Drosophila melanogaster: one gene and its partner. The protein of the gene in region 1 purifies or fractionates together with the protein of each later gene. This does not show direct contact. Each region holds a gene or a part of one and is shown on either strand. Other genes may lie near its edges.

What was found.
Region 2: the proteins of CG1354 (region 1) and GstT1 purify together in Drosophila melanogaster (affinity purification with mass spectrometry, with the first as the bait; one large-scale study listed by BioGRID). This does not show direct contact.

The regions. Positions count from the first base shown.
Region 1 is NC_004354.4:9,777,167-9,782,854, forward strand, and holds CG1354 (uncharacterized protein), read left to right. Parts: upstream 1-1,575; 5' UTR 1,576-1,643; intron 1,644-1,701; 5' UTR 1,702-1,747; exon of another isoform or gene 1,748-1,767; intron 1,768-1,791; exon of another isoform or gene 1,792-1,885; 5' UTR 1,886-1,895; coding exon 1,896-2,076; intron 2,077-3,020; exon of another isoform or gene 3,021-3,040; coding exon of another isoform or gene 3,041-3,074; coding exon 3,075-3,135; intron 3,136-3,344; coding exon 3,345-3,726; intron 3,727-3,992; coding exon 3,993-4,562; coding exon of another isoform or gene 4,563-4,652; 3' UTR 4,653-4,928; downstream 4,929-5,688.
Region 2 is NT_033778.4:9,604,089-9,607,945, forward strand, and holds GstT1 (glutathione S transferase T1), read left to right. Parts: upstream 1-1,899; 5' UTR 1,900-1,998; coding exon 1,999-2,116; intron 2,117-2,191; coding exon 2,192-2,294; intron 2,295-2,358; coding exon 2,359-2,675; intron 2,676-2,736; coding exon 2,737-2,885; 3' UTR 2,886-3,096; downstream 3,097-3,857. Other genes in the region: CG1902 (uncharacterized protein), read left to right, coding at 1-92, 157-523, 582-854; GstT2 (glutathione S transferase T2), read left to right, coding at 3,279-3,396, 3,448-3,550, 3,613-3,857.

The DNA of each region.
Region 1 (5,688 bases):
ACTCCAATAATTAAGTGCAATAAAAGGCAATTAAAAGTCAGCTTAATTAACCCAAACAACAAATAATATGCAAAATAAGCCGGCTTAGCGTTAAATAATCATGCTGGAAATTGAATAACTTTTGGGCGTAGCGCAGAGTCCTTGGAATTGTGTCGAAAGTTGTATATATTTAATAATGAAACATTTCTGGGAAATGTGTGAAAATGGAACTTTGCTGCGTATTGTTAAATATTTTTTCTTTATATGTGGTCGAGATTTCATTCTTGATGCACTTGTGTTTATTTGTAATCTAATATAGGAAAGTAAGTAATCTTAAATGCTGATTTTTGTTAAAATCGTTGCTTCATTGATATTTCAATAAACATACAAAACCAATAAGATAGTATTCGACTTTTGTAAAGGATCAGAATGCAGGTTGTTTATAAGAGCATACACAACCACAAATCGATCGAAAAACTTTCAATCGTCAGCAGGCGTGGACCTCCTGCGGTTTTGTGGACAAACATTACAAAGGTATTACATGCTCCAGTGGAAAAAAAAAGAATGAAAACAAAAAACGAAAAACAGTTGTCCAGGGTCAGTTGCAAATGGATTTTTAAACGGTCGGACAACCGCAAAGAGATGCCTTGAGTAAAGAAACTGGTCGAGGAGGCAAGACAGCGTGAAATTATAAGTAAGTTTTCTAGCACGCACATGATATTCGAATACTGAAAGGTAGACCGATCACGCATAACGGATCTTTTAATTAGGGCCATAAACGCGGGCCAGGGAATCAATCAAAGCGCATCGACCAACGATCCAAATCGATTGCCAAACAGTCGCGAAAGATCAACAAACCTGATTCTCAACCACCCTTGGTCTCTCCTCCTGACGACTTTTCGTTTTTCTACCCATCGTGCGGATTGCGTTTCAGTTGGCCATAAAGGCAGGGAATCGATCCGCCGATCGGTTCGCTAATTATGCGAAATTATTGATTATTGCGGGCTTTTCACTAAACCGCCAAATTGCGTGTACGTGCGTCGGCCCGACGACCTTGACAGTTAACTCGATCGCATTTACCTGAAAACCTGGTCAAAACTAAAGGCGTTGGGAAGAAGGAACACGACCTGTATATCTAGACAAAATTAAACCATCAAATTGATCGCATTGCTTTCAAGCCTTGGCAGTTATTGCATAGTTCTCAATAAAATAGGGTACAATATTATAACAGCAATATATTTCGTATATTGTGGCACTTAATTTGATAGAGTTAATTAGGAAGCAATATAATTATATAAAGGTTTTAAATAGGATAACCTTATTAACCAATTCGTTTTGAGCAAACCAGTAAAGCACAAGTAAACTTATGCCCGCACAACAATTATAATGTAAGAAGACGTCAAACCTGTTGAAAAATGCTGAAATTCCAGTGCGATAATAACATAGCCCTCGAGCTAAATTCAAATTACGCGCCCTGCCCGCTGGCGCCCCCTACCGCCTGCGGTGCTAAGCTACGACGCCCATTTCAACCGCCCGGGGGCGCTAGTCGGCATGCAACCCTGCGCGTCAACAGCTGACCGGCCTATACCCATCTCGCTCGCTCTCTTTCCTTCCACGCCGTCAGCCGCAAAAAACAGCGGACGCTTAAATTTTCGTAAATATTTGTAAATAACAGGGGCTTAAGTTCATTTGGCAATAACTAACCTTAACTCCCATCCACAGCTGGAGCTGAGTTCAGTGGACAGCATCCACGCGTTTAGTGAGCTAGGTGAGCTAGCAGCCGGCAATGTGAGGTTATGTCCGGCAGCATATAAAAATAGTTGACATCTAAATGCATATACATATATGTATTTACATACCTGATTAATCGGATATATGTAACTAACGACTTGCCATATCACCGCAGATCAACGAAGATGCCGCCCAAGAAGCACGACGAACCGGAGCGCAAGCCGCTGATCGGCAGAATTGGAACGAATCTGAGAATCGGTATCGTTGGCGTTCCCAACGTGGGCAAGTCCACTTTTTTCAACGTTCTGACCCAAAGTGCCGCCCCCGCGGAGAACTTCCCCTTCTGCACCATCAAGCCGAATGAGAATAAGTATTCCCCAACACACACATATATATATATTTATATATATATATATCTTTACATACATATATCTGGCCAATTACCAGGCGAACCTGCGGGCGGTGGCAATTTCCTCGATCATTGTAATCATCTCGTGGAATATAATTTTTATGCCGGCGATGCAGCAATGGCCTCCAGGAGCAACCGCCGCCGCTTCTAATTCCAAATTGCTCTCTCGACTGGACCTTCTAAAATAGCCACAGTGCAGCCTCGATAGGTAACACAAATCTCTGAGATTCGCAGCTAAGTGGGGGATTCAATGTGTCAGGAACTTAGATCTAAACACTATGCTATGGCTAGTATACCTTCTGGTTATTAACCATTTTATCATAGAAATAGTCTTCAATTGTAGATAATTCCAAATGTTAAAGCACGAAAACTTCAATTTTAGCAAACTTCAAGCTATAAGCATTTGATCTTATAGATTATCCTTACTATGTATCTCATACAGAGTGTTCTCATGTTTCCATTCCTTTTGGACTACAGAAGTAACAGATAGTTTCGCACACTTAACTCTATAAATTAGTTAAGAAACCATATTTGTATTCATTTAAGGCACCTTTAAAAGTTGAGCTAACCATGCTTCACTGTCCTTCGCGTTGTGGGCGTGTCGCGGCCTTAGCAATTTTATCAGATCCAGTTCCCAATATGCAAATTGCCCCCGCCTTCGGTTCGTTTCGGTTTCATTTTCCTGCGCTTTTTATTTGTGAGCGACTTCATTTTGGTTTCGCTGCCCCTTTGCGGATGGCGCAAAATTATAGAAAATTGCCATGATTGGCCGCCGATGCTGCCGGGCTACCAAGCCAGTCAGTCAGTCAATCGTTTTTGTTTTTTCATATTCTTGTATTTTTGGATTTCTGCATTTCTGCGTCCAGCCAAGTCATCCCGACTAACATGCGTCTTACCTCTTCTTTTCATCTGCTCCTGCTGATGCTGCCGCCGATGGCTTTTGCCTTACCCACACGTCGTGTTCCGGTGCCCGATGAGCGTTTCGATTACCTGGTGGAGTACCACAAGCCGGCCAGGTGAGTTGGAGCATACAAATCCATTGCATTTTAGTTTTCCATTGCTTGTAACAAAAAAAAACATATACCTGCATCACGAAACGCATTTAAAACGCGTAACAAGTTTCGGGACTTGCTATTTTCGTTATTTGCTTGCCATTTGCTTGTTAAGTTTAATAGAAAAGTTCTGCACAATCGAAAGTAATAAGTATTTAAAAAAAAAAAACTAGTGTGGTTCCTGCCTATTTGAACGTCGTGGACATTGCTGGCTTGGTGAAGGGAGCCGCCGAGGGTCAGGGACTTGGCAACGACTTCCTCTCGCACATCAGCGCCTGCGATGCCATTTTCCACTTGTGCCGCGCCTTCGAGGATCCGGATGTGACCCACGTGGAGGGCGAGGTGGATCCGGTGCGCGATCTGGAGATCATCTCCGAGGAGCTGCGCCTCAAGGACGAGGAGAATCTGCTCAAGAACTTGGACAAACTGGAGAAGGTGGTGGCCCGCGGCGGCGACAAGAAGCTCAAGCCCGAATACGATTCGATGCTTAAGATTAAGGATATCCTTATCGATCAGAAGCGTCATCTGCGCTTCGAGGACTGGAATGCCCATGATGTAAGTACGAAAACAATCCACATCCGCTGGGTGGCACTAACGCTTATTGTTATTCCTTTCTACTTAAAAACAAGGGGATATCCATAAAATATTGTATTGTAAATTTGTTTATTAAGAATGCATTTGTATTCGTGTTTCATTCATTGTTGTTATTATCGTCTTTATTTGTTTGCCAACAAAACAGCGAAATCTGTGGTTTTTTTTCGTGTGACCTTGTGATTTTCCCTCCCGTTCTTATTGACGCCACCACTACTTTGCTCTTTCAGATTGAGGCCTTGAACAAGTATCTGTTCCTGACCTCCAAACCGGTCATCTACCTGGTGAACCTTTCGGACAAGGACTTCATCCGCAAGAAGAACAAGTGGCTGCCGAAGATCAAGGAATGGATCGACAAGAACGATCCCGGAGCACTGCTCATTCCCTTCTCCGGCGCCTTCGAGCACCAGCTGACCGAAAAGGACGAACTGGAGCGCAAGGCCTACGAGACGGAGACCAAGTGCAAAAGTATGCTGGAGAAGATCGTTGTGACCGGCTACAAGGGACTGCAGCTGGAGTACTTCTTCACCGCCGGGCCGGATGAAGTGAAGGCCTGGACCATCCAGAAGGGCACCAAGGCTCCCCAGGCTGCCGGACGCATTCACACCGACTTCGAGAAGGGCTTCATTATGGCCGAGGTGATGCACTTCGAGGACTTCAAGGCGGAGGGCAGTGAGGCGAATGCCAAGGCCGCTGGCAAATATCGCCAACAGGGACGCAACTACACCGTCGAGGATGGCGACATCATATTCTTTAAGTTCAACGCCGGCGCTGGCCTCAAGGATGCCAAGAAGAAATGATACCGTTTGGCCATGATCATCGCCATGTCCACCGTTTTGTACATTAACTTGATCTTGTACTCCCAGATGTTTCGCTTCGCCAGAGGCTAGCTCCTCATTATCACATCCCTCACTCTCATGTTCGAGGCCTGAAAATGCATTTTGAATTTCCTTTTTTTTTGTACGCTATGTAAACACGCTTATGACACACAATCTCAGTCGTTGTTTGTTATGGTAACAGGCGGGTTAACTGGAGCACCATTTGAATCCGCAGTGATACTTGAATATTCTATAAGAATTTACCTATGTATCTTTGTGGCTATATGATCATTTGTCATGGGATTGAGATTTTTAAACATGCAAGTAATAAAATCAGGTTGTAGATTTGGCAAGTACTAGTATTGTGTTGCTATCCCTTTGCTCCTAGCTAGCAACAAACAATAAGAAATGACATATCCCTTGTCAGGCATTGACATTGTGGTAACCGAAGTCTCGGATTTCTATTGCTGAGCCGTGGCAAAACTTTTTAATCATGCTGGCAAAGTTGCTGTTGGAAACACCTGTGCAAACCTCTTTGCCACCAGAGCCAACAGGAAAAGCGGCCAAGTGCAAGGAGCTGTGCCACAAAGACTCAAAAGGAGGGAGCAGGGGCTGTGCTGTGCGCTGGTTGCTCTGTGCAAATGCAGCTGCATCCAGTACACAAAGGATCGGGTGGTTGAGGTAGCTGGCTGGTTGCCTGGTTGGTTGGCTGGTTGGCTGGTTCCACTGACTCTGGTCGCAGCGGCAACTTGCTAAGCACATAATTTGGTTTACCGCATTGCCAAACATGCGCCGCCAGAAACACGCACATTCCCCCTAAATCCCAATCTCAAACCCTTTTTCGGTTGCTTCTGGGTTCTGTTAATCTTTGCCAAAAGAAACTTTTCTTGTGCACCGTGTGACGAGCTCGAAATGTGGAGCATAATTCAAAAGTCTGCAATGAAAGTAAGGAAAAGTTTCAAAAATGTTCTATACATTTTGGGATTATGGTTTTGAGTGCAAGAAGAATGCCTCAAAATATTCAAATATTATCTTATAAAGGACCTGATTCATAGTTCAAGACTTTTTTTTACTACCAACTCATTAAAAATTATACATATAAGTGCAG
Region 2 (3,857 bases), on another chromosome or scaffold:
GTACTCTTCTACTACACCTACAAATCAAAGGAAAGAGAACTGCTCAAGGGTCGCCAGGTGGACGATAAGCTGATAGAACTGGCTCGTTCAGGGTAAGGCGGGGACCCCCCTCATTTTCTGGAGGTGGGTGTTATAGAAAAACTTGTTCTTTTGCAGAATATTCGCCACATTGCCCAAACCTATTGGCCCTGGTGGCCCCCGCATCCACTACACACGAATGGGTCACATTGAACCTTCCAAGCACAGTGTCAGCGACATTTTCCGCTTCCACGCTTTTCGCGCTGAGATCGAGATCAACACGGACGACAACTGGAACATAGCCGGCGTGGTGGAGATCATCGACTTCACCAAGATACCCTACTCTCTGCTACTGCAGTTCGATCCTGGCATGTTCAAGCGGATGAATGCATTCCTAGAGCATGGAATTCCAGCGAATTTAGTGGCCACGCACATTGTCAATGCATCCAGGGAGACGCAGTTTGTCCTTGGACTGGTTCGGAATGTCATGAAGCAAAAGGAGCTGGTGAGTTCAAAGGGAAAATCGATGCAGAACCACTAACTCTTTGCTACCCTTCCTACAGTTGCACATTCACTCCACCGTCGCGTCTCTGCGAAAGGCAATTGGATTGGAGTATTTACCCGTGGAAATGGGCGGCGATAATGGATCTTTGTCTGATGCAATGACGCGCTACGAGACCCAGCTGCTAAGCTTTTCCCCGTACTTCACGGAAGACGAGCGATATGGCGTGGATGAGAAATTGCGGGAAGCCAGTGAGAAGGATCAGGAAAGGGGTGCTCCGTTAGTAACCGACGTTCCGAACGACGGAACCTTCCGAATGATTAACTTCGATTGAGTCAATGATCGGGCAGTTAGTTGTATATTCTGATGCACATCCTATAGAACACCCATTTAACACACAGCCCGATATATACACACTGGAATGTATAGACACTACAGCGCTAAAGCGATCTTTGGTCATAGCAGAACCTGATATTTTATAAATGAAACCATAAGGGAGGAACATCGAAACTAAAAGCAAATTGAACAATATTATAGACGACAAGTGCACACTAAAACGAAATAAGAAGCAAATGGATCGCCATCAAATGGCACAAAAACCTCACAAGTTTGTCGATTTTAATTTATTGCTGTCCTTATCCACGCACATACTTATACACATTCTAACGTCCGGTCGAACGATTCATTCTACCATGATCCCATAATGCATTTTCATGATGAAATCTTCAACGTCTTCTACTTGCGTGCTAAGTTGTTGTTGGCTTTGATTTTATCGCATACTTTTATAAATACGGTACATGAGCATACATATATATTTTGGATAATTTTTCAGTTGGTTAAGTGTCGTTTTTACTAATTTTTGATACTAGTTTACACATACATATACATGCATCTCTATATTTATGGATAATACATACATAGTTAAATGACTATATTTAAATGTGACAATGTACTGTAGACCCCATGTTGAGTGCGTTAATAAATTAAAGCGAATTTGTTTAAATGTCGGTATAACTAAAACATAAATGGTATTACTTGGGGTTGCCTTCTTCATAAATGGGGTAAGGGTAATGTGTTTATCTGGTCGAGATAAACGCTTTGTGGTTCTTGATGACTGGTTGACATATCGCTGTTTGAACTGAGATTCCGATAAGTGAAATCGATAAGCTTTCGGTTATGACAAAAGCAAGGCTACAGCATTTAATTTTATTGATCATTGGTATATTTTATCTGACTTCTTACCACCACCTGATTATTTTGAACTTATATATTTGCCCGCCCTTCTCGGATTCCCCATAGAATGGGATGGGATGGCAATATCATTTTGGGTACAGTGTTGAAAAGCGACCAGTTTGAACTTTGGACCGGAATAAAGCTTTTTGCTTTGAGCTTTTTGACATTTCATCAGCGACAACAAATATATTTTGTTTTCGTGTTTACCGGGCTTCCTGAAGCTAACTGATTAATTAATTGCCAAGATGTCGAAGGCTATTAAGTATTATTACGATTTCCTATCGCAGCCATCCCGCGCCCTCTGGATTGCTATGAAATTGGGCAAGACCCCATTTGAAGACTGCCCGGTTGCCCTGCGAAAACGTAAGAATAAATAACAAGTTACACATGTATATAAGGTATAAAGATCTTCTAACATTTGGGATGGTTATATTCCAGAGGAGCAATTGACCGACGAATATCGCAGTATAAATCGGTTCCAAAAGGTGCCGGCCATCGTGGATGGTAAATTTCAGTTGGGCGAGAGTGTCTCCATAGTGCGGTAAGTTCAAGTATCCAGAGCTCGGATTGCCAGGTTAATACTATAGATAAATGACACATTTCAGATATCTCGCGGACAAGGGAGTCTTCAGTGAACAGCTGTACCCCAAAACCTTGGAGGAACGCGCGCGGGTGGACGAGTTCCTCGAGTGGCAGCATTTCAATGTCCGCTTGGTCTGCTCCCTGTTCTTCCGTCAGGTGTGGCTTCTTCCGGCAAAGGGACTGGCGCCGGCTCCCAAGCCAGAGTCTGTCAAGAAGCTAATCAAGGATGTGGAGAGTAATTTGGGTCTACTGGAACGCCTCTGGCTGGAAAAGGACTTCTTAGTCGGCGACAAACTTACCGTGGCAGACATCTTCGGGTCTTCAGAAATTAATCAGATGAGTAAGACTGAGCCCACTGCTGTATCTAAAATAAATTCTAATAATAACGATTTGTAATTTAGAGCTCTGCCAGTACAACGTAAATGAGAAGCAATTCCCCAAGGTGGCCAAGTGGATGGAACGCGTTCGTGATGCTACCAATCCCTACTACGATGAGGCCCACAGCTTCGTCTACAAGACCTCTCAGCAGGCAGTCAAGGCCAAAAACTGATTTCTTTTCGATTTTGACTGATTTCTTTGTTCATTGCATTTATTAGGATTTTAAAACATTTTTGTGCCTTATCTGATGTTTATTGTGTTCAGTTCTGCGCTGCAAAACTCCTAAATGTTAAAATAATTAGAGACTATGAAAAGGGGTGATATCGGATCAATAATAGTTTCATATGTTCGCTTTATATAATATAACTATCTTTGAAGTTGGGAGCCACTTTTGAATTTGCCTCCTAAAGCGGGACAACTATAATAGCATAAAACCAGTGTTGCAAGGTGACACTCAAGATCTTTTGACTGGAGCTTTGCTCAATTTCTCATTTTCCAGCTGAAGATATTCGTTTTTGCCGGCTGTTTGGAAGTTGGGGCTGAGGAACGGGAGCAATTGACCACCATGTCCAAGCCAATTAGATTCTATTACGATTTGTTGTCCCCGATCGCCCGTGGTCTATGGATTGGTTTAAAATTCAGCAACTCACCCGTTGAGTATTGCCCGATTGCCCTGCGAAAATGTGAGTCAAAGTAATCATCTAAACTGCCCCGACTCATTTATGTTTTATTAGTTGAGCAATTGACCGACGAGTACAAGAAGATCAATCGATTCCAGAAGGTGCCCGCCATTGTGGGTGGGGACTTCCATTTGTCTGAGACCATAGCGATTATAAGGTATGGGAAGGCCATCATTGGAAAGCAATCTCACATTTGGATCGTACATTGCCCCCTTGCAGATATCTCGCAGACAAAGGTCAGTTCGATGAGAAGCTCTACCCAAAGACGCTGGAGAACCGTGCCCGAGTGGATGAGTTCCTTGAGTGGCAACACCTGAACATTCGTCTTGCATGTTCCATGTACTTTCGAGATGCCTGGCTGTTTCCCATGAACGGGATAGCGCCCAAGCCCAAGCCAGAGCAGATTCAAGCACTGATTGAGGGAGTGGAAAACAATCTGGGTTTACTGGAGCGCCTGTGGCTGG